Tribolium castaneum: one gene and its partners. The main gene of each other region encodes a partner of the protein of the gene in region 4 in a complex. Links are inferred from orthologs where the notes say so. Each region holds a gene or a part of one and is shown on either strand. Other genes may lie near its edges.

Region 1 (6,797 bases), on a different chromosome or scaffold from region 4:
AAATCCAAAATATTAAGCAACCTTTGGCGCGCAATGTCACACTACATTCAACGGTGTCAAAAAGTTTTTTCAATTTTAAATGTTTCAATTTCCAATTTGAATTATTCTGCTACGTGTTGTGTTCGTGGTTTTCTCTTTTTATTCTTATTTGAATTCGTTTGTTGGTGTTATCTACTCCTAAAGTAATCTCAAAAACATTTAAGTTTTGAACTTTCGAAGGCTAAAATTTGGTAAGTCGGGATTTTTTTGCCACCAAAAATACTATGTAATACATATCTCCAGCTCTGGTATGGACCTATTATACACTTAAAAGGCAACCTACAACGTTTATTAAACAACTTCTAGCTGGCTGGAACACATGATTCTGGAAACAGTGCATCTCTTTACTTGTGAAAGTTATCCAGAAACAAATCGACTTGGGCACCAAAAATAACTTCGAGAATTTAAACCAAATTTCATTTTTTGAGTGGACATCTATGATGGACACCGTTTAAGACTTCTACCTTGCACATAGTGTCTTTTATTTAATACACGCGTTCATTCATTCATTTGTATAAAAGCCACAAAAACGTATCTTGAACTCCCTCCTTTTTACCGTTAAGTTTCAAGACTGGTGAATCCACGAAAGTGGAGTCCTTACATTAAAATCAGAAAAACCTCTTACTCATAATAAGTTCATATAAGTAAATTTGTTGTAAAGTCATTTACGTGAGTCTACAACCAACACGAAAACATGCAAGAAATGTTTGCACATACTATTAAAAGCACTACTTTTCTGTGAAAATTGAATTGGGCACATGTCCAAAACTCCAATGGTACCTTATTAGAGTCCGTATTTACTTACTTAGTGCTTTAATTTTTTTCTAAGTTTCAAAATAATGTTAAATAACCGGTTTTGAGGGTGAGAAAGTTGCCAAATTAAATGTGGAAGCCAAACACGACATTTATTTCTTATAAACGTTAATTCATTAATAAATTATTTTCATTCATTGTATTTATTTTTTCTTTATATTTATAATACTAACAAAATTTTGCAATTAAACACATTTAACCGATTTTCAATAAAATCGGTTATGTGTGTTTAAATTGTAAAAAAATTATAATATTAAATTAATTGTATAAATAATAAAATATTTAAATTTGCCGCCAATTTTAGTTCCTCATACTACCAAGATATGGCGCTATTATCGAAATTTTGACGACCAGTGAATTACGTGTTACTTGATTTTCTATAACTACTATATTCTATGGCTTGCGCGCAGATCGCTAAAAAGATCGCTTCGAAAATATCGCGCCAAAAGTGTTGTTTTGTCACTCATCGTTCAACGTGTTACCGGAAGTATGTAGTAATTATTTGTTTAATCGTTTAATCAAAGCAAAAATTCTGATTACAGTTCGTTAGTGAGTCAATTCCTGGTGTTGAGCGCCGACGAAAAAGATAAGTATCTCTTCTTTTGTTAATATAACCTCATCTTTTTGATTGGTGTTTCTTTCTATTTTAAAGGCATTGGTCTCTGGGCTGGAGTGACGGATTTTTGATTTCTACTACTCAAGCGAACTTTAGTCATGGCTGGTTATCGCAAATATTCCTGCAAATACCCCGGATGCACCAGTGGTTATGTTCCCAACAAAGGACAGTCCAATAAGCATTTCTTCACCTTCCCTAAGAATCCAAAGCTTCAAGAATTGTGGAAGAATGCCTGCAAAATTGAGGATCCTGTAAGTTCAAAATTGTACCTCCTCGTGGTCGTAGCGTGGGCAACTGTTTGCTGACAGACAAGGTAAAAGTCATTGCAAAGCAGACCTTATTTTGTTTTAAGTCTCGAGCAGACAGGCAAAACATGCCAACACTGACTGATTTAATTTTTTGATAATTTTTGTATAATTAAGAAATAATACAATACTTTAATTTTTTGAAAAATTTAATTTGTTATGTTACTCAAGTGTACAATAAAAATGTTAACAAAATCTGTGTTTTATTACCCCAAAACAACTTTTTTTGTAAGTTTCATTGCAAATTTTGTTTAAAATAAATATAAAACGTTTTCACTTTGTTTAAAATGAAAATATATTTTTTTATTTTAAACAATTTGCAATGAAACTTGTAAGATAAAAATAATAAAAAACAATATAAAAGGAATTTATTCAAACGTGGCGCTTTACCGTGGTAGTAACGCACTTCAGGACCAGAGGCGCTGGATTCTCGTGTTGCCAGTGATTTACTAGGGAATTATCACTTCTTAACCCTTACTGTTCTGTGGTTTGAACGCTTCCCTGGTCACGTGACATGTCAAATTTGACTATGGTGTTTTGAATAGTTTTAATTTTTGTGAAAATTCGGTAAAATCGGGCGCAATTATGCCCTTCAGTGACAAAGGTAGTGTATTTGCGTTGGACACTGGCTTCCTTCTTAATTGTGGGTCGTTTCGTGGCCAAATTTTCCACGCCAGGAGCGCGATTTTAAAAAGCGTCCTTTTCACTTGAGGCTCCAAATTTGAATCAAACCTAGGGCCTTAGCGCGAATTTGCGAGCACCATGGACGCGTCCAGTCACACTTTAACTGGTATTGCGGTTTACACACGAGTCAATAATTTTTCAATTTGAACCAAAAGTGTGAAATTCCCGGGGTCAGAATTCAAAAATGCCTCGCTTGCAGGTAACAACGAAGACGTGGAGGCCCTCGTGGACACTCTCACCATCGATGGGGCCACTCTGACCGAGACAAACCTCACGAGTTTGTCTTCCACAGACATCCAGCAACTGGCGGAACTGTCCCAAGAGCTGCACCTTTCAAACGACATGGAGACCGACGGTAAGCCCGGCCTCTGCCCAAAATCGCCCTCAACTACAGGTTTCAGAACCAGAGGTGATAATCGAGACAGTTGAGGAGACCGGTCAAGTGGACGCTGACGTCATGCAGTCCGAAATAGGGGCCCAAGAGATTGAGATTGAAACCGAACGCGCCCCCTCCCCCGAGGAGATCCTCCCGGACGTCAAAATCAAAACCTCCACAATCCCCCCATTGCGCCCCCTGACCATAGCCCCCAAACCCGCCAAGGCGGTCCCCATCGCCATGAAGCCGGCCCCCGGCCAACAACTCCTCCTCCTCCAGGGGACTGGCGGCAACCAAGCCATCAAACTGGTCTCATCCGGGGGCCAAGAGCTGAACCTCGCCAACGTGTCTTTGGGGCGCCCCGTGGCCATCAAGCCCGCCGTCAAAACAGTCACCACCACCTTAGTCCAGCCCAAGCAAGTCGTCATGAAGAAAATCGTCACCTCCACGCAGAAAACGCCCCCGAAGACCACCCCCACGTTCACCAACAAGCAGGGGCATATTATGGTGGTGCAGAAAGCCGACCAAGTCAAGCTAATGCCGGGGCAAACCACGCTTCCGAGCCCCGCCAAGACTATAACCCTTCAGCAAGCGCAGGAGATGGGGCTCATTACCACCACCAAGGTGCTCCCGCAGGCCACTTCCACACCGAAGCGTACTATGGTTTTGAATAATCCTGGCACCAAGGCGATTAAAATTGTGCCCCAAGTGGCGCCAGGACAGTTGTTGGGGCAGAAAACGGTCGTGAGTCAGATTAAGTCGCCCACGAAGATACTTCCAGCTACGCAGGCGACTGGAGGGAAGGTGCCCCAAAGGATTATTTTCAAGAGTTCGGGGACGGGGCACACGATTTTGTCTTCGCCGCAAATTATACAAGTGGCAGGGACGCAGGCGCTGAGCACGGGACAGTTGCATCAGATTAATATTCCAGGGAAAGGGGTGAGTTTTTCAAGGTGGATCAGTTGATTATTTCGACCAGTTGGGGCCCAACTTAGTCGATAAATCATCAAATTGGTTCGAAAATCGCATTTTTGTATTTCTAAAGCGTTTAAGTAGGTTTTTTTGAGGAGTTTCGTAGTAAAGAAAAATCACTGAATCATGTGAAAAATTTTATTTTTGAATTTTTTACAACCAGGATACGAATAATTTCGGGGAATATCATCAGAAGTAAGCAAAAAAGCTCCGAATTATATGAACAATGATATTGTTTTTCTCCCTTTTCGAACGTCTAAAGACTTCTTGAGCTATCAAATGAGTAAATTAGATCAGAATTTACTTTTCTTTGCCATTTTGGGAGCATTTTAATCGGTTTTACTGACAGAACCGCAATTCTTTCTAGGACTTTCGTTACAAATAACCCAAAAAGCCACTATAAGGTGGGTAAAAAATTCCATCGTTTTTTTTTTGAGGACTTTAGAAAGACCGTATCGCGAGATTTTGGTTAAACTGGAACAAAAAATTCCTAAAGTCAAAACGCGAACGCGTTTTTGTGCTTTTTGTGAGCGTTTTATACTCTTTCCAGCCAGGAACCTAATTGTAACTTTTTAGAGGAGTTTTATCAGAAATAAACTAAAAAAAAACGATAATATTGTTGCCCCTTTTAAGCGTTAAACACAAAATTTTTAACTAAATTTTGTTAGATTGGACCAAAAAATCGCCAAGTTAGTTCTCTGATGGCATTAACTTGACTTTACGAGCATTTTATTGCGATTTATTAGCAAAAAATATAATTATTTTAAGGAAGTGATTAAAAAAAGTGCACCAAAATTCACCAAATTGACCAAACTAGTTCGGAAAAGATGCAATCTTTACCTTTTGGGAACGTTTCTCATGTTTTTTTTAATGAAAAGAATTTTTTCGCGCGATTTTTCGATCAAAAAAGCAAATTAAGAAAGCCAGACTGCTATTTAGAATTTTTTTTTAATAAGAGCGATGTCATTAACTCATTAAGGAGGAGAATACCACGCTATAAAGCACCGAATTTCAGCCATTTTTCTCAGTGTTTTTTTAAATAGAAGGTCTTTAAAAAAAATTACTGTGCATCAATAATAAGTGTTAAAGAAAAATTAAAATACTGTAGTGGACTCTTAAGAATACAATTGCTTTTGTTTTAACTTTTACTTTGAAGACTGCAAACTAAGCTGTAAAATTACTAATTATACCAAAAATAATGTTATTTTTGGTCATTTTCAAATGTTTAAGCAGTTTTTAAATTAAAAATTCTATATTTTTTTCGAAAGAGATTTCGGTAAACTGGTAAATTATGTAAAAGATTACGGAACCTAGATAAAAGTAAACCGAGAAATTGCTAAATTCTATGAAAAATGATTATATTTGGACCATTTTTGGTTCTTTTTGAGCTGAAAACTCAAGTTATTCGCGAGGTTTTGTTAAAATGGATCAAAAAATATCACTAATTATGTGAAAAAGTATAAAATTTTTATCTTTTCAAGAAATATTAGTGACTTTTACGGCCAAAAACGTAAATTTTTCGTAAAATATTAACCTAAAAACAATAAATAATGTCAAAAACGGTGTAATTATCATTTATTTAAAATTGAAAAATGTTTTAAAGTATGTTAAAAATTGTGCCATTTTTGCATTTTTTGAGCGTTCAAGCACCTTTTACCAATATTTTTTTTTGGGTGTTTGTACCCGTAATAGGTACATCTTAATCTCAAATAATGACTTTATTTCTGCCTTTTTTTTGGTGCTTGCAGTACATTTTGCAGCTAGTAATATACTTATTTCAAAAATTTTCGTCGAAAGAACCGTCCAAAAATAATTTAGTTGGAAAATGGTATCACCTGTTAAAAACTCAGTTTTCGAATTATTTCATTTAAACGACCCAAAAAAATAAATTTTGAATAAAATGATATATTTGTTTTTTTCGTGTATTTTCCAAAATAAGCCCGGAACTTGGTCGAAAAACGCCGTTGTGTTTCAATTTACTGAATTAATTTTCTCCTTTTCAGATGCAATACATTAAGTTTGTGACGGCCACCAATGCCGAGACCACGCCCTTTTCCTCGGGAGCCTCCACCCTCACGACCGTAAAATCGTCAATGCAAGCGTCCCCAACCAACATTGTCTTGTCGGAACTCAAACCGGCGTCCCAAGGCGCAACTATCGCCCCCAAACCGTTGAAAAACATTGCTGCAAAAGCCCCCGTCAGCAGCAGTCAAGTGGTGATGTTGCCAACGTACGTCCAAGCCAAAGTGCCGATCCCCATGCGCCACACCTCCGCCACCAAACAAATATCCGCAGAGAGTATCACAATGACACCCGAGTCCAATCTCGAGTCCAACGGCATAAGACCCCGAAAACCGTGCAACTGTACCAAAAGCCAGTGTTTGAAATTGTACTGCGATTGTTTCGCAAACGGCGAATTCTGCTACATGTGCAACTGCATGAACTGCTTCAACAACTTGGAAAATGAGGATCACAGACAGAGGGCGATCAAGACATGTCTCGAACGCAACCCTAATGCTTTTAGGCCGAAGATCGGCAAAGCGAAAGACGTGGCCGGGGACAGTTCGATCAGGAAACACACAAAGGGGTGCAATTGCAAGCGGTCGGGCTGTTTGAAGAATTACTGCGAGTGTTACGAGGCCAAAATCGCCTGTTCGAATAACTGCAAATGCATGGGGTGCAGAAATATCGAGGATTCGATGGAGAAGAAGAGTCTGAGGGCCTCGATTGAAGACGGGTTGCATAATTTGCAAGGGAAGATGGCACAGACCAGGGATCCGCTCCAGTTCAGGACAAGGAGGACGTCAAACAGCCGACAAGCGATTAATTTCATAACGGATGACGTTATCGAAGCGACCTCGCAGTGCATGTTGACCATCTCCGAAAGTGGGGATGCAAATATGCAAGATGAGCAAGTGACGAAAAGCCAGATTCTGGAAGAGTTCGGGAGGTGTCTCAAGGAGATCATCGATTATTCTATGTTGCACAACTG
Region 2 (5,284 bases), about 720 kb from region 4:
AACAAGCGAAATCGAACAAACAAAACCAAACTAATATAATTTTCGACCTTCATTTGTCTTTTATTGGCCTGTTCTAGCGAATTTATCCAAAGAAAGTGAATTTTTGCCTCAAGACGGACTAAAATACTAAAATAAAAAGGTGAAAATAACGTAAATTTATATTAATAGTGATTTTTCGGCGCGTTTGATTAAAATTACTCCCTAAAAGTGAGTTTTTTAGCTTAACTAATTATCAAGGTGACTTTATTTTTAAGGAAAATTTGGCAAATTGTTTTACTTTTTCACACATAAAACGAGTTAATCTTAGGGAAAGAGATAAAATTGAATCAAAATAACATCACTTTCCCGCACGGAAGGAAATTCGTCAAAAATGAGTGAGTTTTTTATTCAAAATATTTTTCAATGTAGAGGAGGGTGGAGTAAAATGATCCATCTAAGAGAAGGATTATGATGTGCTAAATTTTTAGACCTTTGGTAAAAGATTATAATCTTCTAAATCGGAACCATGATCGCACTACTAGTTTTCTTGCTTTTTGGAGGGGTCATTTTACCCCAGTTTCCCCTAATTAGGTGATTTTTCATGGTTAAACAAAATTTAGCTTTGATGTTGAATTCACGAGCCGCCACTGAATCGGCACTTTTTAATAGTGGTCCATTGAATTAATTTTGAATTTTAACCTTGATTTTAGGCCGGAACCGCAAAACGTAAAATTACTCAAGCGGTTAGGGAATTTTATTTATTTGGAATTTCGGGTTTTACTACTTAAAATTCAGGTGTTGCGGTTTTCTTAATATTAGCAATGCTAATTTTTTAAGAAGATATCGATCACTTTGTAGTGTCAACGTTCGCTAAATAATAATTCTAATTCTGGACTGTACTATTAAATGATTTATTTTTAACGTAGCCACTTTTTCCGTGTATTTTCTTCCTTATTTTACTCTTTACAAACAAAGACATAATCGCGTGCGGCCGTTTCATGTTTGACCTATCGAAGTTTTATCACAAACGCGACAAATTAATGTTTACTTGACTAGCATTTACCTATCAAGCAGGTCAACGGACTAAATAAAGAAAAAACTATTACAACAGATGTAATACAAGAAAAAATTGCGTCAAGTGATATCACGAATGTTTTTCTTCGGATGTCGGTGTGTTAACAACCTGACGTAGTTCAGATAATGCACACTTTGTGACGTTATACGAGGCGATAAGTTAGTCTTTTAATCACTTAGTGGTGGTCGCCTATTAATAACAATTGTAAATATTTTTAATTAATGAATGACACAAGTGGAACACCGCCAGATTACTTAATTCGTAACATATGCTGACAACGTAACTTTAAAAATAACACACCCTTTGAATCAAATGGGACCATCCATCAACTGATGTAATTATTTACCTAAGTACCCAATTACTCACTTGATCTAAATATACACAATTCATAAAAGACTAACATAAATATTGACAGTGTTTAAACAAGATTAGCTCGCAATTTCCAGACTTACCTGTAACGATTTGTTCCTCCTGGGGTTTATCCTCGTTTCTTTTGAAAATAAAATCACCGAGGGCCCTGGAAAGGGCCAAGTTCCCGTTAACCCTGTTGTAATCAACAAACCCTCCCGCCGCTACGATCCTGTCGTACTCCTCCTTGTTGTTCGGCTTGTGGTCGTTCGAAAGCGGCTCCGCCTTGCCCCCAATGCTCGCCACAGCTCTAGAGTCCCCCACGTTGGCGCAGTACAACGTGCCATTTTTGATAATAATAGTGACGGCTGTGGAGCCCGACTGCTCGTTTCTCAACGACTCATCCTCCAGCATGACCCGGTCGATCTCCAAGAAGGCCTGCTTCAGCCCCTCCTCGATCTGGCCGTTCTTGTACTCCTCCCGGTTCGTGATAAACTTGTGCAGGTGCTTGCCCGCGTACTCCGAGATCTTGGAGCCCCCATGCCCGTCGTAGACCGCGAAAAACGCGGCCTCGGGGTCGTCCGGCAGGGACAAGATGTGCGTATGGGAGTCCTCCATGTTGATGCGCCAGCCCTGCATCGAACTTGAGCCCACTTGGAAATTGGCGTTTTGGCAGCATGCTGTGTTCTTGGCAGTCACCGGTTCGGACAAAGTTTGACCCATAGTACCCCTGAAAGGGCGATAAGTCCGCAAAAAGCGCAAAAACACGAGGCAAGCGGGAAAAAACCGTCGCTACTTACTCAAAATTGAACTCTGCTCTTTGGATGGGTTTTATTTAGCATACTTGTGCTAAATCGAATCGCATATTTTGCGTACGCTAATTAACACCGCTTTTTGCTGTTGTGTGTCACGAGATATGGAACGCAATATTTAGGTTAATCGGGAGAGAACTCTTCGAAAAAAGAGAAACTTGACGTTTGAATGTCGAGCTGGGACGCGGCCGGCTGAGTGCGTCATCGCCTGTGCACAAGGCCGAAAACTTTTTTATGTCCTAAACAATAAAAATGTGCGGCACGTTCTTCAAATAAAAACTATTGACAATAAATTCGTTGTTACTTATTACTAATTAAATTACGATTTGATTTTACAATCTTGGCGAGGGAAGCGCCAACATTGCGACACTTAATACACCAGCCAAATTTAAAAACCAAACTTTTACGAAATTGGGGGCAAGTGAATCGGGGTTGACACCCAATTAGGGTCATTTGCGACTTTTGCTCGTTCTGTATAGTGTTTCTTTGCCGCTTTCAAAGTCCCCCTAAAAGCGCAGCCTTTTGATTACGTTTGCTGCAGTTGGCACAATTGCAAGATGGCGTCCGAGAAACCCGGGAGCATTGAACAAGGTAAAGCATTTTTAATAAAAAATCACCCTGTAAATGTTACTTTTGGCTCAATTTAATTATTAAACGATTGTTGAGGCCTTGCATGGACAGTTTACGCGAAATTGTCGGCTAGCGTGCGTGGACAAGTTCGCATTTTAAACAGAGTGGCTTATGTCAATCTGTCAAAATATAATTGATTTGTTGCATTTCCTAGAGCAAGATCAATCTTTGAGCGATCTAGAGCAGACCTTAATGAGTATGGAAAATCTGGATAGAGCCTCTCCAGAAATTTGGCCAGAGAAGTGTAAGTAGCGTTGCACATGTTTGTGGGATTAGGGCAATAATAGGGTTTCAGATCCAGGAATGACAGATTTTGTAAACAGTTTCACGCCACCAAGTGCCGTAAAACTGCCTTACTCGAAGGAATTGAGTCAGGATGACCAGAATTATCTGCACCGTAAGTTTGGATTAGTTTTTGTGTGATTGTAGAGAAGAGTGTGGTTTTTGTAGAATTAGCAGCTCTTCCAACAGCTGGACTGATTTCTAAAGTCAAGGAGTTGCATGATATTGCATATCAGTTGGGTGTTGAGGAATCGAAAGAAGTCACAAGGGGGAAATACTTAAATGTTTTTAAGCCCAGGCAGAAGCAGAAATGATTTGCAATTTGTTACCTAAGTAGAGGTTCCAAATAACGTGGAAGTTATAAAAAGAGCAGGGGAAATATATTTGTACATAGGATTATAAGTTTAAGTTTAAAGAAGTGATTGTACGTTAATTTCCTGGAGAAAATCATTTTTGTAATGTATTATTAAGCAAGTGCTTCAAAAGGATTTATGTATTATATTGCACTGCTGAAGTTTCGTTTGTATAATAAAAATCGAAAATAAATTTGGTTTTGTAAAAGGTGTCTTCATTTTCTACAATTAAAATTTTGTTCCCCGTTAGCTCACCAAAACAATAATGAGGTGATGCATTATTATTATTATTATTATTATTATTATTACTGAACCCAGCAGCTTCCTAGATTAAAAATATCCGGTGGAATGTAAATTGATAATTATTTTTGCAGGAGATTAAGCTCTCTAATAGGGCCTTCAACTGTAAAAAATCATGTTCGGACAAACATTCCTTAGGACCTTAACATTTTTTTAATTTTTATAAAATTTCTCGATTTTGCAAATTGCGTTAAAAAACTCGTATTTAAGGATTGCTCTAATTAGTCAAATTAATAACTCATTTGTCCAGCAAGAACCAGAAGAAGGTTTAGAACATTCTTGCCAGGAAAAAAGGAATTAAGGATGAGGTAAACAATGATTATTAGAAAATAAAGGAATTATTTATGAAAAAAAAACAACACATAAATCAAATATTTTTTACTTGGCGTTAAATAAGATGCACCTACCTTCATATGGTTTCTGCGTTGGCTACTGTTTGTAGTTTGAAAATGTAAAAATTTTTACTTTTATGAATTTTGTGTCCGTTTCTGCTCTTTTAGAGCGTTATTAATTATTATTGAGTAGGTTTAAGGGTAGACAAATCTTCCTTGAGTCAACGACATAAACTTTAGTGTGATTTATTGAAATGTCTATTGGGCAAAAATAAACTTTTCGTGTCAAACATTTACATTAAAAAGGGTGTTTGATCGTTTATAAAGGGCGTGTACAAGCACAAGTACAACAACTTTTCTGTAAAAGCATTTTGCAAAATTTTTATTCATTATTTTCACTATTTTCCTTCTTTCCGGTAATAACTGATTCACTCTTCGGGGACTATTTTGAATATTGTAATAAATTTTCAAAGTTTGCGAAGAAAATGTTTTTTCGCGTAGAATGGCTGCAACCAACAATCCACTCTTGAAGAAAAACGCTTTAATTTTAATTAAAAACCAAAAGTCACTACTTATTTTCATTGAATTACATTGAACACTTATAAAAATTGTTAGTTCCCTTCATGTTGTTGAAAAAAAATATTTTGACTGCTGTTTGATGTGAATTATGTCCTCGCTTCGTTTTAAAAACGGCCTGAACTTTTGTAACTTTACTCTGGCTTGAATCAATGCTTTAGCTTCAATAATGCCGTTTCCATATTTTATATCCTGACCTTGTAATGGGCCTACAAAATCTCAATCAGATTCAATAGCTTCGTCCTTTTACAAACTCTCATTTCCTGCATTATATCCAAAAAAAAAACTGTCCAATACGCTTAAAAATTTCACAAAGAAAGTCGAAGTAAAGATATAAAATAGTGTCGTAACATCAATTACTAAATTTGTTTACCGTAATAATGTCAATAAAATGTTACACTGATCATTACAACATTATTTATTTAATGGAATTGCTACAACCATCTAGGTCCATTTCGCATAAATATAAAACCTACGCTCGGACCCAATTATCTCAAAACTACACCACCTTCTTCGGCCCATTTTGGGCGCTCATCCGCCATTCCGTCCCGAAAAAATTAACGGATGCATAAAATAGCAAAAACTTTCTTATTTGAT
Region 3 (5,607 bases), on a different chromosome or scaffold from region 4:
GACGCCCCTCCCCCGTACGTCCCCCCCAACACCGAATGGTATGCGGCTCCGCCCCCGGCCTACGCCCCCCCGCCGGAGGGTTACTACGGCTGGGTGCCGCCCCGTCACCAATTCCCCGATAATCCGCCAACCGACGGCGTTTACATGACACAAGCTCCGCCCCCGTATCCCGGCTTAAACCCCGCCTACCAACCGGGAGGGTATCCGCCCCCGCAAGGGGGTTACCCACCCCAAGGTGGGTATCCGCCGCAAGGGGGCGCAGCCGGATTTGCCTCACCTGCAGGTAATTATCAAGGACGCTAACTGCCAAATAAATATTGTTTTACGAAATTTTGTTTTATTTAAGATGCGAAGGCAGCCGAGGCCGCACAATCGGCCTACTATGATCCCAATCGGCCACAGATGGCGTTCGTGCCGCCGCCGGCTTATTACGTAAGACAGGGAGACCAATCGCAGTTAGAAAAAAAAACACTATTTTGTTTTAGGAAAATCCCCCAAGTTACAGCCAAGCTACCAATAAGAAGGAACAGTGATGGGGTCACGTGACACTTAAAATTTGTATCAATTCTTTCTAATGTCTTTATCCAATTATGCAAAAGTATTATTTGTTGGTTTTTAATTGTTGCATCATTCCATTGATAGGTCCACGAAATATGCATGCGTTTTTTACGGCAAGGCTTTGCAATAGTTTGAGGCACTTATTTGCTTGGAAATTTTGTATAGTTGAGATTATTGTAATATAATTATTCTTATAACGTGTAGATAGATCTGTATAATGCAAATAAATATTTTATGTGCAAATGTGCACGCACTTGTTTTTCTGCCAGTGCTACAATCCCACAATAAGTCCCAAAATATGAATTTGAAAAAAGGAAACGAGAAGTCAAAGGGGAGATTTTACCTGATCGCCACCGCAGGTTTCTTGTACTCGGGCACTTTGAAAAAAACATCTTCATAATAAATACGATCACCGAAAACCACTCCGCGCACGATCGCGAATGTAAAATAATCACCAAGGGCTCGAGAATTAATCGAAACACAAAAGGAAACAACTAGATTTTATACTTTTTTAGGTTACGTTAAAAAACTGACAAGCGGATTGTGATTGGTTGGCGTCGCCACGTGACCGGCTTCGGCCAATCACGCGCGTGAAATGAAACACAGCACATGCGACTTGAGTGTTTTATTTGATTTGAGGTAAAAAATACGAATAAATCCGGTTATTTATAAATCCCTAAACTAAAAAAACGAATGTTTGTGGCTGATGTGTCTGTCCAAATTGGACTTTTTGACCGTTCGATACTCGCACCTTTCACATTTGTACCAACTGAAGTTGAGTTTGGCATGTGTTAACGTATGCCTCGTAAATTCTTCGGATGTTTTGGTCACAAACTCGCACTTTTTACAATCAAATATCTTCAAGCCGTGTTTGTGTGCCCTGTGCCTCAGCAGATGGGGCTCCGTGATGAACACCTCCCCGCACTCTGTGCACTTGTTCTCGTGTGCTCCCTTCGTGTGTTTCGCCATATCGGCCTCCTGGGGGCACACGAACTCGCAGTGCTGGCACACATACCAGTTTAACTTGCCCAGTTGGGTGTGTTTGATGATGACGTGCTGGCGCAACTGCTCCTTGGTTTCGGTCTTGAAGTCGCACTGGTTGCAGGTGTGCCACTTGAGGGTCCCCAGACCCGTGTGTTGGCACAGGATGGGGTCCACGGTCTTGTCCACACAACGGTCGATATATGACGTGTCCATGCTGTTGAAAAACTCGATTCGTTTCTTGAGGGGGTCGAACCGGGGGGCTTCCGAGATGTAGTTGCGGATGGCTTCCATGTCCTGGGCGATTTGCTTGTCTAGGGTAGAGTTTATGGTGTAAAAACGGTTCTCTTCCTCGTCGAGCTCCGGGGCTTCGGGCTCGTCGTCGTCGTCAATAATGTAGGTCTCGATTTCGGTCGAGGTGGCCATTTTTACGATAATTACACTTTCACATAATTTTTCTAAATTGTTTGGGCTTAAAAACAGGTAAAAATTGTAGAAGTTAGGTTAGGACGACTGACAGCTGTCAACAATGTCAGTGCTCAAATTGTCAAAAAAAAACATTCAAAATATTTTAAAGATAAAAAAGGGGCCTGAGAGTCTCTAGGCTAATAAATACATTCATAATATGTGGATAAACATTTCGCTCGTTTGGGTTTGAATGGTCAGGTTGGCAAGAGAATTTCTCGGGGTGTATATTAAAACTGCATTTTGTTGTAAAATGGTTTATTAAATGCGTTGACAAAATCACTACTTTCATTACAACACACAATACAATAAAATTCCAAGTGTTAAAAACTATTCCATTGCTTCTTGTGCCCTGAAAAACAGAAAATTAAACTAGACGAAATTGTACGTGTTTTCGTACTTATTGTAAATAGTTTGGAGCATTTGCGTGCTCAAATGATACCGTTCCTCGTTTTTAACCGCAGTGTCAATCCACTTCTTCTTGACCTTGACCCACCTTTGCAGGTGATTCCTGATCAAGATATCTTTGGGAACAGGTGGACATTCCTCCTGTGATGAAACGATCAATTTTTAGTAATAAATTGTACCATCTTACATAATTCAAATTTATATTATCCTTGTTTTGTTCCGTTTGTTCAGGCAAAGGTGATGGGATTCTACTGACCACGGGACCTATAGGGGGCGGCAACCTGTGCAAGTCTGTGATCATGCTCGTATTCCAGTTAAATTCATTAGGTTCAGGTGACGATAATCGGCGCCTAAATAATTTGGTTTAAAATTGAGTTGGCAACAATGATTGCAAACTCACTTAACGATTGATTGCGGATTTCGGGGCTGGTTCTGCATCCAAGCCCTGCAAATGGGGTACAAGGGAGTGTCCTCCTCAAACCGGGCCAAATCTACGCTTCTGTCGAATAATTTCATAACGTAGGTGTGGCGGTAGGGGGTTAGGACAGAGTCGCCTTTACGTTTGCGATTTTCGCTACAAAAATTAGTGAAAAATTGGCCAAAAAAAAGTTTAAATTACTATTTGGAACTCCGTTCATCGGACGAGTCGCTGTCGGAGTCACTTTTCTCAGTTAGTTGCTTGAGGACGCCTTTGAGGCGGCCCTTGGCCATCAAGTAGTCATTGCCCAGGACGTTCTCCTCCTTCACTTCCACCTTAATTGAGCCCAAATTTGACGAAAACTTGCGTTTTTTGGTCATTTTGTTATTTTGAATTGTAACAGTCAATAATGAGGTTAAGGCAAGCGTCACTATGTGAGCACCAACAGAACCGCCTCAAATGTTACTGTTGTGTAACCAAAAAAAAAGCCAGAAGAGTGTGGAAGTTTTTCGATTTGTTGTGTAAAATAATAATATTACAATAGTGCTCCACTTTACTTTGAAAATAGGAAAAAAAAGAATTGTTTTTTGTGACTGAATCACCCACCGAAACAACTTTTTTAGTTGTTATGTTTGCCAGCTTGTCATTTTTAAGTCAAAAGTACCGAGTTTTTTATTATAAATCGTTTAATAGAGTTGTAAAAGCCAGATCTGCGTATGTGTAACGGTTTTTATATTTATTTCGTTTTAACACAGTTGTATTGTTTTGAATAAATTTTTAAATAACAAATAATTTTGTTTTATTTCAAACGCTCAAAATAAATAATTATGTGTTCTCATTTTCCTTATTTACTTGTAATTCCTTCAATTACTTTTTTATTGAGTGAATAATAGTCAACAATTTTATTTTTATTCGACAATCTCAACAAAATTAATGACACTCATGGAGCAAAAAATCTTCTGTTTGGTGGCAATGCGCCTCCAAACCGTCTGAAACCTGTACCTCCCCGGCCAGAAAGGCGTCTCAAAATGCAGCTCAAAGGGCCATCTTTTTACCGAGTAATTCCCCGCAGGGATGGGACATGTACCAGGCCGTTCCATCCCCATAACTTTGCCCAACCTAACCATTGAATCTTTGCTATACTTCATCAAAGTTTTACAAACATCTTTCTGGAAAGGAACACCTGGAAACGACTTCCAGCCGCCATCGACAAATCTTTCGATAAAATAAGTCCCTTCAGAGGTGTCATCCACCGCATGGGCGAAGGAAAATTCCATGGTAATGGCCCGATGGGTGCGGTTAAGCCGATCAATGCGGATAAGTTTCATGGGGATTTCAAGTTTATCATTATCAGGGCATAAGTAAGCGGATTCAAGGTCCGCAGTGAATCTGTTTACTAACTAAAATGTAAATGTTATAATTTGAAGAAAAAAATAGGTGGAAAAGTGTTACAAAACTGACGCTGACGGTGTTTCCAATAAATGAAAGTAGTAACAAGTTTTCGAGAAACATTGCGTGTTATTTGTAGACTGAAATTGGACGAAAAAATCATTACATGAGTCAAATATACGTCACAAAATGATTGTTTTTGCATATTTTGTCCTAAAAGAGTGTTAGATATCAATTAATCCACAAAATTTTTTGAAAAAAAAATATTTTTTTTGAATTTTTTTTATTTAATTTGACTTAAACAATCATTGACAAGACTTTTAAAAAAATTATTTCTAACACTTAATTGTCTCAAAATTATGATTGTTCTATTCATAATTGCAATATGTAACATTTTCCCGGCGCATCCACCATTTTTAATTGTCCTATAAATTCTTATAATAACTGTAGATTCAATTAGAAGCAACTCATCTAGTATCCACAAAAAAACCCTTACCTGTATTTTACAAATTACTTAAAAAGTAGTCAAACAACTGTAAATACAGCCAGTTTCAAAAATCCATTCGGAAAAATTTTCAGTAAAATGGTCAAGAATGACTGTTAGCAAAAATAAATTTTATTTTTTTATGATACAACAAAATCATTGTTATAGTAAATCATATGTTGTGTTTAAAATCTTTCATTGGTTGTTTGTCAAAAATTCATTTTTATCTCCAATCTCTCATCCGTTTTGTTGCGTATAATAATAACCTCTGGCATGAGCATATAATTGCAAACCTATAAATTAATTGTGTTTTTGTCAAAACTGGCACGAACTACGAAATGTCCTTCCAACTTTTGCGACCCATCCTCTGCTTAATTTTTTTCACCCCAAAAACCACAAACGGCAATTTCGTAAGCCCAATCACCCAATTACAAAAACACCTAAATTTTTTATTCCAGCTCACGAGTAAATTTAAAGCAGACTTGGAAACGGGTTATTTATGCCCTGATAACGACAAACTCGAAGTCCCTATCAGACTTTTCCGAATCGATCGTTTCAATCGCACCCATCGTGCCATCTCCATTGATTTTACATTCGCAAAGCCTTTGGACGAAACGGCAGAAGGTGCAATTTTCGTGGAAAAGTACACTGAAGGAGACTGGAAAATGCTACCGTCCTTGACGTGGCAGAAAGATCCGTGTAACAGTATCGGGATGAGATATGGGCGGGAGAGTATGATCAGGACTGGGAAAGCCCTAGGGTGGAAAAATCCAGACAAGTGCCCCATACCGGCCGGGAATTATTCCATGATAAGGCACCCCTTTATCACTTATCATGACACGCCCTTCTGGCCGGGACGGTTCAGGGTCCAGATGGTCATGAGGCGGATTGCCACCAAGAGGAA
Region 4 (6,689 bases):
ACCGGTATCGTTCCATTTAAAAGTGTTTAATTATTTTATATTGAGTACCTTCTTTTAGCGGATTTTCTGTCTCTAGTAGTTTTCCACACCAGCCAGAGGCACACGGAACTGCCTCTACGCCTTTTTCCAAATCAATTTGTGTGACATTTACCGTGAACGGGTCTTTACAACTTCCTAGCTCTCCCCGAGATCGGCATACAAAACAGCGTTTGAGAATTCCTGCAAAGGTTCATTGATTCCTTCGGAAGAGCACAAACACAAAATTTGAATACGGCACTTACCATTTGTTAATTTTGGAGTAAAAATGAGAAAGATGAATGAAACACTAAGTAAAATTGATCTAAACAGACCCATTTTACGTCAAACTTGCAGAAGGAGACATTCCACTCTAAACTTTCTCTTGGCGATCGCGAATACCTTGAGAATTTATGTAGGTAGTCGCACAAGAAATAAAACGCATTGTTGGTTGCATAAATTTGTGTATTTAAGTTAATTTCAGGTATCGGTGTTTCCGGGCGTCCTCCTCTTTCAGTTCTTCGTAATTTTTATAAGTCCGTTTTTTACTACACACTATTACAAGCCCAGCACAATAGCAGGGCAGTGTAAGAGATAAAACTAATCCCAAATACATCATATGGCGAACAAAAGCTTAAATCATTGTTACATAAGGACTTATGACCACATTTTTTCAACAACCTTGAGTCAATATTCGTGCTTTCGATATCGTAAAAATAATTATCTGTTGCATCCTGATATCATCCACTTGACAAGTGTAATTGCCTTCCTCCGATTCTTTGACGCTGACTAAATACAAAGTGTTAAAAGTATCGACAATAATCCGGGGTTCGTCTTCTGGATTTGGGGGCGTGACGCTTTTTCCGGCTTCCAGAACTTTACCGTTCTTCTTCCAAACAACTTTATTTTCCAGAGTTGATCTTTAAGTGTAATAATTAAGCGGAAATTAATTGAGACGACTTACTCCGGGCACACTAAAGTTAAGTGCGAGCCTTCAGCCAGGACGAAAATTTTTCGATACTTGAACGCTGAAGTTTTGCCCGCTTTCCAACCCTTACTAAAACCCTCCGCATCTATTACTATTTTACCAAACCGTCCACTGTAAAATTTTTACCGGGGTTACAAGTCCCTTGGCAGGCCTCCGTTTGCACAAAATTCGGTATAATTCGGGTCAAGTTGCTAACACCGGGCAAAATCCTGCCCAAAATTTTCGAGCGACAGGCAATTTCGTTTGCGTTTTTGATAAAATGTAAGTCGGTGTTATTTTGCAATGAGGCACTGCCCTATCGATATAATTTGAGTTTAATTGTGGGGATGTGGCGTAAAAAACCTTTTGTGTTAATTTAATTCTGCAGTAACCGACTTTTTTCCTAATCCCTTCGTCTTTCGGGCGCCCACACACCTGGCAAATGCCCCACGGCCCCCAGATTGTGACCATTTCCATTTCAACGTGTAATTGCTCGCGGATGTGCCGGAATTCCACACCCTCCGAGTGGTTAAATAACATATTGATTGGCAGGAAATATTCATCGTGGTATTTGCGCCAAACTGTGATATTGCCCGTTTCCAGCGTCGTAACGTTATCGTGGAAAATGACTAAAATTGAAACTTTGGCGCGTCTGAGTTGTCAGGGACGCCAACACAACGCGCAAAAAAATATGAAATGTGTAGAGGTTATAGAGGCGGAATTTTTTTCTGTGTTTAAATTGAGTTTTCGGCAAAATTCTAACAGCGAATTTAAGTGAGTGTGAACTGTACAAAGTGTGCTTTCGCTGGCTTTCGTAAGTTTTAATTACTAGTAGCGACTACTCGCAAAAACGCGGATTTTTTGACTGAAGATTGGGGCGATAAAATTGTTTATATTTTACGTTTGGACTTACGATCGACCAAATAATTGTACTTGTCTTGCTGCTCTCCTTCGTATCGCTCACAGTAATACAGCCCCGTGTCATTTTCGGTAAAATTATGAATAATCAAGCTGTGCTCTTTGTTTACGTGGACTCTCGCCAATGTAGAATTATTGTTCATGTCCAAATCCACTTCGGAAGGTGCAGGGCTTCCAATATCCCCGATTTTGTACCAAATTTTTGGTCTCCCGTCGTCGTTTTCGCCGCTATATTTAAAAGCAACTTGTGAGAAACATTTTCGCAATTGGCCAAGCTCTCGTGAATTGTAATTAAATGAAAGCTTACTTTTATCGACTAATAACAAATTAGGCATTAGCATACCAATAATGGCACTGCAACGTTAACTTTTGATCAAGCGTTGCATCAATTAATGTGTAGAGGTCACCTTTTTCAGGTTCAATTAGTCGCTCCCTGTCCCTGCAATTTTTGTAAATATCGTCCAACGTACAACTTGTTTTTAAAATAGAAATTAGCAGGAAAATCCTTATCAGTGATAGTATCATTTTTGATAAATATGCATCGATTTCGTATTTCAATTGTTTCCAAGGCGGGCCATGATGTGACTTGCGCAATGTCTCATTTTTACGAATTCAAAAAAATCGTTAGGTCAATTTCACGACGTGAAAATAGGCTTGAGACAATTTCCAGCGTCCCGTTCGAACCCTAGAGAAGCTTTTCCCTGTGCATTTCACAAAAACGAGCCAAATTTGAAGCGTTGCTATTTTTAATTCGTGGCGGGCTGTTACCAGGACGCAATCTTTGATCAGATGATTGGAGAATAAACAAAATTAATTTCAAGTCCTGCATTATTAGCAAGCCTAATTCTTTCGGTGTGATAATTGTACTACTGTTCTGGTGGTGGCAGAAGGGCTTTGTCCCAATTTTGTGAAAGTTTGAGTGAAAATTGTGATTAGATCGCGTCTGGTGTTTAGGGCGCGTCAATGATGCCGCGTAAATCTCCCATAATTCCCTAACTTGACGTCAATATGGCGGACGAACTTGAAAGTAAGTAAAACGCGTCTAGTTTGATAAATTCCGGAGAAATTCGAGTGTTTTGGTTGTGAAAATTGCCCCAGAATTAATCTTTGGGCCTTTGTCGAGTAAGTCGCCCCCTTTATTACCCCCTGGTAGCGCAGTAAGACCCGCAAATAATGGAATGTTTTGGTGGGAACGATGTTTTAAATTTGAAAATATTGTTGTACCAAATTCAAAATTTGAATTTTCGTCCCAATATTGCTAAAGCGAAATGGGAATGCGTGGATCGTGACTACTAATAAAAACGAGTTTATGTAAGGGGCGATGTAGTCATTGTTGTTTTTATTTGAATCCAGGTGAATCAGATTCAGGGTTCAGAAACGGGCGCAGAATGACGAACGAGCAGGGGGTCACTGTCAAGCAGGAGGTGACGGACGAGGAGGACGAGTCCGGGATGGACGTCGACGATGATGTCCCCACGTTGGGGCCCGCGGCTCTGGGCCTGCAGAGAGTGGGTGCTCCAGCTGCACCTAAACCGCCACCCACTCAACCAACGCAAGTCCTAAACGCCCGTGGTATGCCTGCAAGGATCAGGAAGAAAAATAAACTGTTTTACGACGACGATATCGTCAACACGCCACATCACAGGGTACCTTCTGCGAAAAAAATGAAGCAAACGCCTGTGAAAAAACCCAAAGTTAACACTCCCACGAAAAGTTTCAAAGAAACGCCCAAGAGAAACACACCGAGGGACGTCAAGTCGCCTCGGAATATTTCACCACCGCCCCTTCAATCGCCCGATCGGAAAATCGGGCAGAAAATCGGACTCAGATTGAGAAATGTGCTCAAGTTGCCCAAGGCACACAAATGGGTCTGCTACGAGTGGTTTTACAGCGATATCGACCGGTGTTTGTTTTCGGGGGAAAATGATTTTAGTATCTGTCTAAAGGAGTCGTTTCCTGAGTTAAAAACACGAGAGCTGACGAGAGTACAATGGACCAAAATTCGAAGAATGATGGGGAAACCCCGACGTTGCTCTCAAGCTTTCTTTCACGAGGAGAGATTAGAATTGGAGAAAAAACGGAAAAAAATCAGAGCGTTACAACAGAGGAAAGCCACCGAACTTTCGAGTTTTAAAGACTTGCCACCTGAAATCCCCATGCAATTGGTTATCGGTACAAAAGTAACAGCCAGGCTTAGAAAGCCACAAGACGGATTATTCACCGGAAGCATTGACGCTGTGGACACCTCAAACAACACCTACAGAATAACATTCGAGCGCCAGGGATTAGGCACACATTCTGTGCCTGATTATGAAGTTTTATCAAACGAACCACCCGAAACCCTCTCGTTGTCCAGCTTCCAGAACAAGTTCAGACCCTGGAACGGGATCACAACATACGCGGCGAAAATCTCCCCTTACACAAACCTAAAATTCAAGAAAGATCCCTTACTGTCGGGTTCGATGATCAATAAGCCCATTTTCCCGCAGGAGGAGGGCCGGATAGGGGGATACCCGACCAAACTTTTGGAAAAAATGGTCTTAATCACGAAAATCCTCAGCGTCAAGAGGACGAAAATCAGCGAACTGAAGGGCATGAACGCCAAGGCGGAGAAATTTAATTCGTTTCATTCGGAGATTCCTGAAGAGTTTCAGCGGAATTACGCCTGCATTTTGATCGATCTTGAGAAGTTAAATCACGATTTGCAGCTGTATCTGGATGATGTTCAGGCGCTCTGCCAGGAAATCGCCCCTGAGCCGAGCGTGGCGGCGATGCTGGCGCCAAGCCATTTGAGGGAAAAGTGCCGAGAAGAGGCCGCTGAAATTGTACAAAGACAGAATTCGATCATTTCGGCCGACAAGGATCCAGTTAAGAATAAATCGATTCTGGAACTCATCACCGATCTCACGGCTTTGATGTTGCAAGTAAAAAGTTTGGCCGATTCGGATCAAAACGCATACGAATTGCAAGTGCTCCAAGGCACGATGGAACAAATCAAGAGGAAGTTGACGCCAAGTAATCAACTAGTGTTCCAGAACTCCGTCGAAATTCACATGAAACACATTCAAGTCGGTCTCGGGCAAAATTTAGATAAAAAACTCGCCATAAATGGAATTTCCAAACTATGATACTTTTTTTCTTTAAAAATGCAGGTTTTTAAAGCAGAATGCTGTGCAATACTATAATGGCCACAATTTCGATTTACACGTCTCGTTTTATCTTACTGTTTACCGCGGGTTTTATTTATAATTACTGTATTTTTGTGGGTATTTCACAGAATGTGTATATTTTACTTGTGTAATTAATAAAAATGTATATATGAGGCACCATATGTAATTTTAGAACTGTTCAAATTTTTATCAAAATTGGTTTGAAAAAAAAAACGTCTACTTAGAAAAATATTTTATTGAGCTAATCACCCCTAGCCTATTTTTTGTGTTTCTGCAAAGTTTTCAACAACTCATCGGCATCTTCCGGACTTTTCACCCGCAATAAAATCGGCACGGGTGGAGGTTGCGTGTCTGGATTTGGAATACAAACTAACATAACATCCTTTTTCCCCATCCTTTGCATTGGGATACTTTCCGACAAAATGAAATTACAAATTAATTTTCCTAAATTCGTATCAGCGCGCACGATGAGTTGGACTTTCTCGCCGTTTGGGACTGGCTTGAGGTACAGAGTGCCCACGCCATGGTCTCCAAAAGTGCCATCCTTCTTCACAAAAACCTTGCATCTGATTGAATAAATGTGTCCCTCTTCTACCACTGGCGTAAACTCAACTTTGGGCGGCTCGTCTTCGTCTTCTTGCTCTTGGGGCTTTGGCTCATCTGCTAGTTTTATGACAGTGCTTGTGAATGAAAATTTGCCGCTGTCAGAGCCTGAATTACCAAACGAAAACGGTTGCGATTTAAAGGAGCTGTCGCCTCCTGATAGGGTAGCTGTGCTAGTGCTTGAAGTGAAACTAACTGTTGTGGTACTGGAGCCAAATGAAAATCCTGTGGATGCGGTAGAAGTGGCCCCAAATGAAAATTTAGGAGTTGTGGTTGTAGAGGTTGTACCAAAGGAAAATTGGGGCGCAGTTGTGGCACTAGTTGATGTTTCTGACGCTGCCTCGCCTTTCGCCTTTTCAAGTTCGTTGATATATTTATCGTAATCTTTGAAAATTGGTTGTAAGTTGATAAACGGGTTTGATGACACGTGTTTTTTTATCCATTCAGTGACACTTTCATTTAATCCTTTTAATTTGGCATAATATTCGTCTAATTTCTTGTCGGAAGTCTCTGCTTCTTTTTCCGTAGTTCCGTTGGTTTTACTAGTCTCGGTTTTATTTAAGTTTGACAAAAATCCAAACGTGTTGGATGCACTACTTGGCGTTTTACCAAACCCAGAAAAACCACCGAATGCGCTGGGTTTGCTATCGTCACTCTAAAAATTAAAATTGTTCGTAATCAAACAACACACATTAGAAACCGTACTGACTTGGACTGATGATATGGGGTTCCTCCTGCGGGCAACTTTTATAACTCTGTTCTTCAAAGCTTCATCTGAAGCTTTTGTAAACGTTCCAGCCGTCTCTGGTTCGTCCTCCCTATCCCAATTATCGTGATTTAAATCACTTGTTGCCGTTCTTTTAGCCATAAATGGAGAAACGAATTTGCGAGGTTAAGATACCGACACACTTCCAAACAATTTCACAAAACATAGACTATCACAGAATTGGCTTATTTAATGATTTGCATGTCGTGAGACGGAAAAATTCGTTTTAAGCACTTTTTTGGGTAAAATA
Region 5 (6,778 bases), on a different chromosome or scaffold from region 4:
CACAAAAGAAGAGTTTTTTAACACTGTTAACGCCATTTTCGCCAATACGGAGTATTCGCAAGCGAGCATTGCATTATACGAGCAAATCGCAAAAAATGGGGAACCACAAATTACTTGGAGTAAATTTGTGGAATTTTTTTTACAAAATTTAATGCCTGCGGATCACCAAACTATCAATTTCCAAGTATCGAGCATTATTGCCATTCCTCAGACTAAGGTACTGATATTATTATTTTTTCTTGGTGTACCTAACAACTATATTACAGAGAGAAACGATAATTAAAATTGTGCGAATAGAAACCGAAAAATATTTTTGCTACGCTATGATATCCAAACACGGCAGAGTCGGTTTATATGATGGCAATCTTAATTTTTTAACAACATATCAGTTGATAATGACCCGAGAGGATATTCATCGGAAGGAAGAAGACCGAAGACGGAGGAACCGGTGGGTCACTGACGCAATTTTTTGCGCTGATGTTTTAATGTTTATTGCCACTAATACGGCACGGAGTGTGGTAATTTATGAAGCTTCCGGACTTAAACACGTGCCACTGTATCTTGTTTTGAGTACACCTAACATTGTTCAAGTATGTATTTTCCTACAGTAGTTACGGTCTAATTGAAACTATTTTAGTGCTTTGCTTACAAAAGCAGCATTTGTGACGAAAATGGCCAAAGTACGCTTTTTATGGGAGATGACAAAGGCACGGTTTTTTCTTTTACATTTTTGCAGCCCAAAGCAGCACTTTTGAGGAAAAAACACAACGACAGAATTAATTTATTCTACTGGGATGTACGTCCGATTTTTTGTCACTGTACAAACAGATTAGATAATTTTGCAGGAGTTACCAGATGAAAGTGATTACGTTGTTGTTAAACGTAACGGGCGTCTACATCAAGAGAGTGTCAAATGGCTTGTATATTTTAATGATAATGAAACTCTTATTTCTTGCAGCAAAGACTCAAATGTGTCAATATTAATACATTATATCGGAAATAAAAACAAGCCGTACATTTTCAAGATACAAAAAGTAAGTAACACAGTCACTGTTACGAAAGTTGTCATATTTATTTATTAAACCGCTAGGGTTGTAACTGTTTTGCATTAAGCAGAATACGTAAGATACTAGCCACAGGAAGCGAAAATTCTGTTCTGAGATTGTGGAACCCTATTATTACCTCAAAACCAATCGCAATTTTGAAAGGACATCAAGCACCGATTATGGACGTTAAAATATTGGATAAACTAAATTTACTTATTAGTTGTTCAGCTGATGCAGTATATTTTTCTATTTTGCATTTAATTCTATTTACTAATTTTTGTATAATTGTTGTAGATGTTTAAATTATGGGATTTGGAAAAACAAAAGTGCATTCAAAGTTTTTCTATCAGTTTCCCGTCTTTTAAAGTGTTTGGAAAATTAATTGAATGGGGAATTGAATGCATTTATCCCGGCCCTAAACGCACTTCCTTTAATGAGATTGAGATCGAACTTTTTGAAAGATCACCACTGTTAATCACTTGTTGCAATCACATCGCTGTTATTAAAATAGTAAATCAGAGCAACGAAATACAGAAAATTGTTGAATCGCAAGTTTTGCCTCCACCTCCTCTACAAAATAGTGTTTTGATTCCAAAAATGTGGAGAACGTCTGATAGTCCCGAAACAATAAATAAGTATGATTTTTTTTCTAAACCTCGTTTTTTATTAAATTGTTAACGCTATTACAGAGAAGAACAGTTTGAAGAAGCAATTGATGACAAATTTCTCAAAGAAAAAATAAAAGAGTTGGAATTTATTCTAAAAAAAGACCTGTTTGCAAATGATGGCTCAAGTAAGAGCGATATCAATTTCAAAATTGCGACATTAGAGCGAAAAAAAGTGCAGGCATGTATAGCAATGAATTGATTTTATTTATGTCAACAAATAATATTTAGATGCGAGAAAACGTTGCACGCGGTGCTCCCTATTTAGCCCTGGAGCTACCCGAAGTGAGCGACCTATACCTAACACCAAACTTGCCCGTCCCTGACAAAAAGAAAACGAAAAATATTGTGGAAAAAATCGAGAAAGTTTTACAAGACGCCAGTTACAAGGACTTGGTATTTTCGGAACCCTCCTCCAGCCGCTCGCCACGGTCCTCACGAAGCAGTGTTATTGAATTTGACTAGTATCACTGTAATAAAAATTTTTGTAATAAAAATTAAAATTCATCTTGCGCGCGTCCCCAAGCCAGCAGGTGAAGCTTCCACTAATGCGAAACTTCCCTAAACGGTGTTTGTGTTTGGCGCTAAGAATTGGCGGGAAAGCCCATTTCTCTCCCCTTTTCGTGCCCACAGCAGCTGTATTGGCACATAGTGTCCTAATTAATTAAAGTGTGGCTAAAAACTTGCAAAGTGCTTCGATTATAAAGTTACTGGTAACTTTCCAAATTTGGGTTTGAGGTTACCCTCCATGCGCAGTCAAAAGTAGTTCTGGCTGATCGACAAAAAACTGTGTACGTATTCGCGCGTAAACGCCGAAATATTTTGGATTTTAGCGGCATTTCCTCGTCGAAAATAATGTGCAAAGCGGGAAAGTCGGGGTTTGAGCGTGATTGTGTTGTTTTTTAGTCGTCTCTTGTGTGGATTCCCGCCTTTTGTAGGCGTTGTCAAGAGCTCAATGGTGGCTAGTGGTGCGAAATTGTTTAGCAGCGGTTTGTAATTGTTGGAAATCATGGTGTTATCAAGCGAAACCGAAGAATTGGAGGAGAAACACTCAGAACTGTGCAACAAACTGCACCTGAGCCAACAGATTTCCAGAGACGCTTGGGAGCGATTTGAGACAATTAACAAGAATTTCACTCTGGAGGTGAGTCTCAACCCCTTAAATCACTGCAAACTATCGGGATTTTCAGGGGGAGCCCCTCCACTGGATAGGGTGTGCAATATACGTGTCGTGTTGGAAGTCCATCGCTGCAACGGCTGCACAAAATAGTGTTCACACGAATTGTGTTAACTTGACCAATCTTCTGCGTCATTGTAACTTAAGGTCAGCCAACAACAAACAGTCTTTGGGTTATTTTTAACGCATGGTTACAGCATAGCACAGTTCTTTTACAAAATCAAACAATGGTCGGACATGGCCAGCATGCCTGAGGAGTTCAAAAAGCGGATTGAGTATCTGGAAGGGAGCTTCTCTGTGGCTTACAACGTTTTTAAAGAATACCAGCCTCTCTTTATGCAAATATTTAAGGCACCTAAAGCTCCAGAAGCGCACGAACTGGACACAAGTAAACACAGAAACCGGAAAAATAAGTAAGAAGTCTCTCTAAACCAATTTATTTCAACTACGAAATTGTATATTTTAGACCTGTGCCTTCGTCCCCACTCAAAGTCTTCGAGTTTTGTTGGACCTTGTTTATCACAATAAAAAGTGAAGACACGAATTATAACAACGACTTGGTCACGTCGTGTCATTTACTTATTGCCATTTGCGACTGGGCGTTCAAACATGCGCTCCAAGCCGACCGCAAGGATCTCCTAAACCCCGACTTTGCGGGCCTGCCTGAAGACTTCGCCCAGCCCAGCTATGTGCCCCCTTCGGAGGCCCCTTGCATCGTCAGCTTACTGTGCCCCAGTCCGAACATAATCACCGACCTGAAGTACGTAAAAGAGTACCAGTTCAAAAAATCGATTCGGAATTATCTCGACCAAGGCGTCTTGATTGAGAACGACCAAGGCGATGTCTTGGACACCTCGGTGTTTGACCATAATTACAAAAGCATTGGGAACGTGTACGAGAAAAATATCCTGAATAAGAGCGATTTTGACGAGCGCATTTTCCTGGGTGAGTGATTTTACAGCTAGTCCAATCATATGGCGAGCCAGCTGCGCAAACAGCTGACTGTCTTACCTGAACAGATGCTCCTGACCTTGCCCTAACACCTGTTTCATTCCAGCTGAGTACAAAAGAAAACTTCTAGTGAGAGACCAGAGTGTGGCGCAAAATGCAGGTAATTTGAATCGAGAAATCTATGATCAAACAATTGAATTTTGCAATTTCAGCTGACAACGCAAGTCCGGAGTTATCGACCAAAGAAATGGTATTTTATTTTTGTGTGTGGTATTTTTTTTACGTTTGTTAATAGGTTGTTAGTAAAGAGTGTTTGACGCCGCTCACTGGCCGCAAATATTTGGGCCCGAAGGAGTCGCAAGAGTCGACTCCGCTTGTGACAGCTACTGAAAGCATTTCAAGGCTTAATAACTTGCTTCATGGGCGCCAGCCGGCCCCCAGTGAGGCTTTAGTGCAATTGTTTGAGTAATTATGACGCCCAGAGTGGTTGAACGTGTCTATGATGATGTTTTAAGGTCTTGTGCTCGCAATCCAACTGAGAGAATCAATCAAATTGTTACAAATTTGGGGGAGAGGTTTCTGGAAGGCCACCCAGTTGACCAAAGAGAAGTAGCACAAAGGCGACTGCAGCTCGCGACAACTTTGTTTTATAAATTTATTGAAAGTATTCTGCAGAATGAGCGCTCAATACATGCTGATTTATCGGTATGTTTTTTAATTATTATTTGTTCTGTAGTATTTTTATTGTTTTTTTAGGCCATTGTGGAAAAAGACGTATTTTACGAATGTATGTTTGCTTGTTGTTTAGAAATTGTTATTTATTCATACAATAGTCGGCAAAGGTTCCCCTGGATATTGAAAGCACTGCAAATACAACCATATAATTTTGTTAAAGTGATTGAACTTATCATTCGCTCAAGAGATAAGCTTTCAAGGGACACTATCAAACACCTTAATATGGTAAGAACATTACAGTCGGGATGTTTTTTTGATTTGAGATTTCGTGAAACTGTGCAAAAAATCATAAAATTTTCTCAAAAATAGACCAAAATATGTTTCAATATACTCTCCACCTCTAAATAAAATTAGTTCGTCAAATTAAAAAAAAGCGGAAATTATGAAATTAGTTCAAAAATAGTGTAATTTTTCGCCATTTAAACACGTGTTTGCGCTAGAAACTAAATTTGTTCGTGAAATTACGCTGAACTGGGGCAGAAAAAAAACTAGCAGTGACATTTATTTCCTATTTAAGAGGGTTTTAACACGGTTTGCATATGTAAGGACACAATTATTTTAAAGAATTTTGGCGCAAGTTTAAAGAAATTAAATTATTGTGCTCGAAAACGGTGTTATTGTCTGGTTTTTTTTGAACTAAAAAATTAAATTACGTTAAATGGTTTAAGTATATTTTCTAGTTAGCAAATTTTTAATTTAAGACGAAATCTTTAAATTGAAGCGGTAAGTACGTGTTTGAGCTAAAAACTCATTTTCTTCGCTAAATTTCGCTAATCTCTGCCAGAAAAATCGTCAAAGTCGGTTGAGAATGTCATTTATTTTGCTTTTTTTAAGGGTTTAAACGTGTTTTTCATCAAGAAACGCAATTATTTTAATCTTTTTCGAGAAATAAAACACATTTTTGAGCTCAATAGTCAGGTTTTTCGCGACGTTTTGATAAACTGGACTGAAAAATCATTAAGAAATTAGGTCAAATTGATTTTTCTACACTATCTTGTAGACAGGTTTTATAAAAATCCTCTTCTTTTAATCAATTTTTGAAAGTTTTCAAGGGCCATATAATAAGAAATGCATAACTGTATTTTATTTGAATATTTAATTGTCGAATTTACGAGTAAATATTTTGTTTTAAAGCTTCAGATATCTTCTACATATAAAGCAAACAGTGAAGAAGGATTATGATTTATTTCAATCACTGATAATTTATTATAATTAGTCAGCAGTTTCTGTTTCTCATTCTGTTCTCCACCTTTACTCTGTTTTGTATGAAACTGTCGTTTTTAGATCGAGGAAACTATACTTTCCTCGCTGGTCTGGAAATCAGACAGTTTAATTTGGGAAGCAATAACATCTTCCGATAGGGAAGTACCGAAATTCGAAGAGACGGCTTTGCCAGGGCATATGCAAAATGAACCAAGTTCTGAAAACTTAACCTTGAGAAGTATTCTCAATTCTGAACCAAGTATTTTTGCTATTTTTTATGTTATACGATTGTTACAAAAATAATTGTAGGACAAATTGTATCGCCTGGCCCTTCTGCAACAGACCGGTTTCAGTCACCAGTAGCACACAGCAGTGCTGTGAATAGAGAATTGTTTCCTACAGTTCAGTCAGGTCAATCTCTACTCCAAACGACTCATTTGAGTAAGTTTTAATCAACTAAATTAACGCATTTATCAAAATTTGCGTTTTTTAGTGATTAAAGATCGTACTGGGAATACTCGCATGATTCCTATCGTAAATAGTGAAACGCAAAAGAGCACCCCGGTGCCAGTTCAACAGACGACTCCACAACGTCAGGAGAATGTAGCTCAAGCCAGGCCGAGAAGAACAGGAGGTGTGTCAATAGTATTCAGGAAAGTAAGTAAAGTCCCGTTAAAATTTATAATTTTGCGGTTTAATGGCATCCAAGTGTTAAACAAATCTGCTCTACTTTCTAGAATTGGGTTTATTTCAGTGTAGTAATTAAACGCTTTTATTTTTTCCGTGAATTGTTAAAATTTTATATGCGGTCGTCATGGGTAAAGAATGACCATAAATCCGTGCACAAGTGCTAACAAAATTTATATTACCCTACTAACAGATGTCCACTAAAGACACATTCGTAATTTCAGTTCTATAATTTATCTGGAGAACGGATGGAGCACCTGTGCACACACTTAAAAATCACAAACACGGACACTAAGCGCAAAATCTGGACGGTC

Evidence for each region.
Region 1: mip130 (region 4) and protein lin-54 homolog share a complex: the UniProt entries of both Homo sapiens proteins name them as parts of the DREAM complex. The link is inferred for Tribolium castaneum from reciprocal best matches to the Homo sapiens genes LIN9 and LIN54.
Region 2: the proteins of mip130 (region 4) and lin-52 are in contact, whole or in part, in a crystal structure (PDB 6C48), measured with the Homo sapiens proteins. The link is inferred for Tribolium castaneum from reciprocal best matches to the Homo sapiens genes LIN9 and LIN52. Residues at the interface, in NP_001353174.1 of Homo sapiens: Leu335, Gly336, Phe338, Phe342, Leu343, Ile344, Val346, Thr347, Leu349, Ser350, Lys351, Leu353, Met354, Lys356, Lys357, Ile360, Leu363, Arg364, Asn367, Thr368, Ala370, Glu371, Lys374, Ile382, Phe384, Gln385, Tyr388, Ala389, Val392, Leu395; in NP_001019845.2 of Homo sapiens: Asp61, Met64, Leu65, Leu68, Gly69, Leu71, Thr72, Thr73, Leu76, Met77, Val80, Leu83, Gln84, Leu86, Ala87, Leu90, Asp93, Glu94, Glu97, Met98, Arg100, Gly101, Leu104, Asn105, Ile106, Leu107, Glu108, Pro110.
Region 3: the proteins of mip130 (region 4) and mip40 are in contact, whole or in part, in a crystal structure (PDB 7N40), measured with the Homo sapiens proteins. The link is inferred for Tribolium castaneum from reciprocal best matches to the Homo sapiens genes LIN9 and LIN37. Residues at the interface, in NP_001353174.1 of Homo sapiens: Lys99, Ala101, Ser102, Gln103, Lys104, Ile105, Gly106, Arg108, Leu109, Arg110, Leu112, Leu113, Lys114, His119, Trp121, Cys122, Ile123, Glu125, Trp126, Phe127, Thr227, Leu237, Phe238, Leu272, Ser273, Asn274; in NP_061977.1 of Homo sapiens: Tyr95, Ile97, Leu99, Phe100, Asp101, Arg102, Val104, Leu106, Ala107, Phe109, Ser110, Glu111, Asn112, Thr113, Pro114, Leu115, Tyr116, Ile118, Cys119, Arg120, Trp122, Met123, Asn125.
Region 5: mip130 (region 4) and retinoblastoma-like protein 1 share a complex: the UniProt entries of both Homo sapiens proteins name them as parts of the DREAM complex. The link is inferred for Tribolium castaneum from reciprocal best matches to the Homo sapiens genes LIN9 and RBL1.

Annotation. Positions count from the first base shown.
Region 1 is NC_087399.1:5,897,851-5,904,647, forward strand, and holds the start of protein lin-54 homolog, read left to right. Parts: upstream 1-2,228; 5' UTR 2,229-2,358; coding exon 2,359-2,377; intron 2,378-2,656; coding exon 2,657-2,812; intron 2,813-2,858; coding exon 2,859-3,772; intron 3,773-5,808; coding exon 5,809-6,797. UniProt on the Homo sapiens protein: Component of the DREAM complex, a multiprotein complex that can both act as a transcription activator or repressor depending on the context. In G0 phase, the complex binds to more than 800 promoters and is required for repression of E2F target genes.
Region 2 is NC_087402.1:6,134,757-6,140,040, reverse strand, and holds lin-52 (protein lin-52 homolog), read left to right. Parts: upstream 1-2,657; 5' UTR 2,658-2,771; coding exon 2,772-2,805; intron 2,806-2,998; coding exon 2,999-3,088; intron 3,089-3,139; coding exon 3,140-3,241; intron 3,242-3,294; coding exon 3,295-3,440; 3' UTR 3,441-3,687; downstream 3,688-5,284. Other genes in the region: probable protein phosphatase 2C T23F11.1, read right to left, coding at 1,507-2,125.
Region 3 is NC_087399.1:3,373,728-3,379,334, forward strand, and holds mip40 (protein lin-37 homolog), read right to left. Parts: upstream 3,284-5,607; 5' UTR 3,211-3,283; coding exon 3,032-3,210; intron 2,987-3,031; coding exon 2,813-2,986; intron 2,763-2,812; coding exon 2,600-2,762; intron 2,554-2,599; coding exon 2,405-2,553; intron 2,357-2,404; coding exon 2,335-2,356; 3' UTR 2,246-2,334; downstream 1-2,245. Other genes in the region: Wbp2 (WW domain-binding protein 2), read left to right, coding at 1-283, 347-432, 486-533; RE1-silencing transcription factor B, read right to left, coding at 1,240-1,965; uncharacterized protein LOC107398505, read left to right, coding at 5,042-5,113, 5,162-5,607.
Region 4 is NC_087402.1:5,410,604-5,417,292, forward strand, and holds mip130 (protein lin-9 homolog), read left to right. Parts: upstream 1-2,726; 5' UTR 2,727-2,908; coding exon 2,909-2,927; exon of another isoform or gene 2,928-3,022; intron 3,023-3,064; exon of another isoform or gene 3,065-3,211; intron 3,212-3,253; coding exon 3,254-5,028; 3' UTR 5,029-5,226; downstream 5,227-6,689. Other genes in the region: rtv (uncharacterized protein LOC103312675 precursor), read right to left, coding at 49-219, 282-354; uncharacterized protein LOC103312737, read right to left, coding at 485-648, 697-935, 980-1,088, 1,130-1,298, 1,346-1,611, 1,896-2,128, 2,244-2,425; nuclear pore complex protein Nup50, read right to left, coding at 5,327-6,328, 6,383-6,541. UniProt on the Homo sapiens protein: Acts as a tumor suppressor. Inhibits DNA synthesis. Its ability to inhibit oncogenic transformation is mediated through its association with RB1. Plays a role in the expression of genes required for the G1/S transition.
Region 5 is NC_087396.1:19,755,497-19,762,274, forward strand, and holds the start of retinoblastoma-like protein 1, read left to right. Parts: upstream 1-2,302; 5' UTR 2,303-2,720; coding exon 2,721-2,855; intron 2,856-2,901; coding exon 2,902-3,035; intron 3,036-3,085; coding exon 3,086-3,301; intron 3,302-3,354; coding exon 3,355-3,833; intron 3,834-3,945; coding exon 3,946-3,999; intron 4,000-4,051; coding exon 4,052-4,089; intron 4,090-4,134; coding exon 4,135-4,304; intron 4,305-4,354; coding exon 4,355-4,544; intron 4,545-4,595; coding exon 4,596-4,799; intron 4,800-5,858; coding exon 5,859-6,036; intron 6,037-6,086; coding exon 6,087-6,218; intron 6,219-6,270; coding exon 6,271-6,434; intron 6,435-6,688; coding exon 6,689-6,778. Other genes in the region: WD repeat-containing protein 64, read left to right, coding at 1-217, 267-590, 638-796, 846-1,034, 1,091-1,282, 1,341-1,681, 1,736-1,892, 1,943-2,176. UniProt on the Homo sapiens protein: Key regulator of entry into cell division. Directly involved in heterochromatin formation by maintaining overall chromatin structure and, in particular, that of constitutive heterochromatin by stabilizing histone methylation.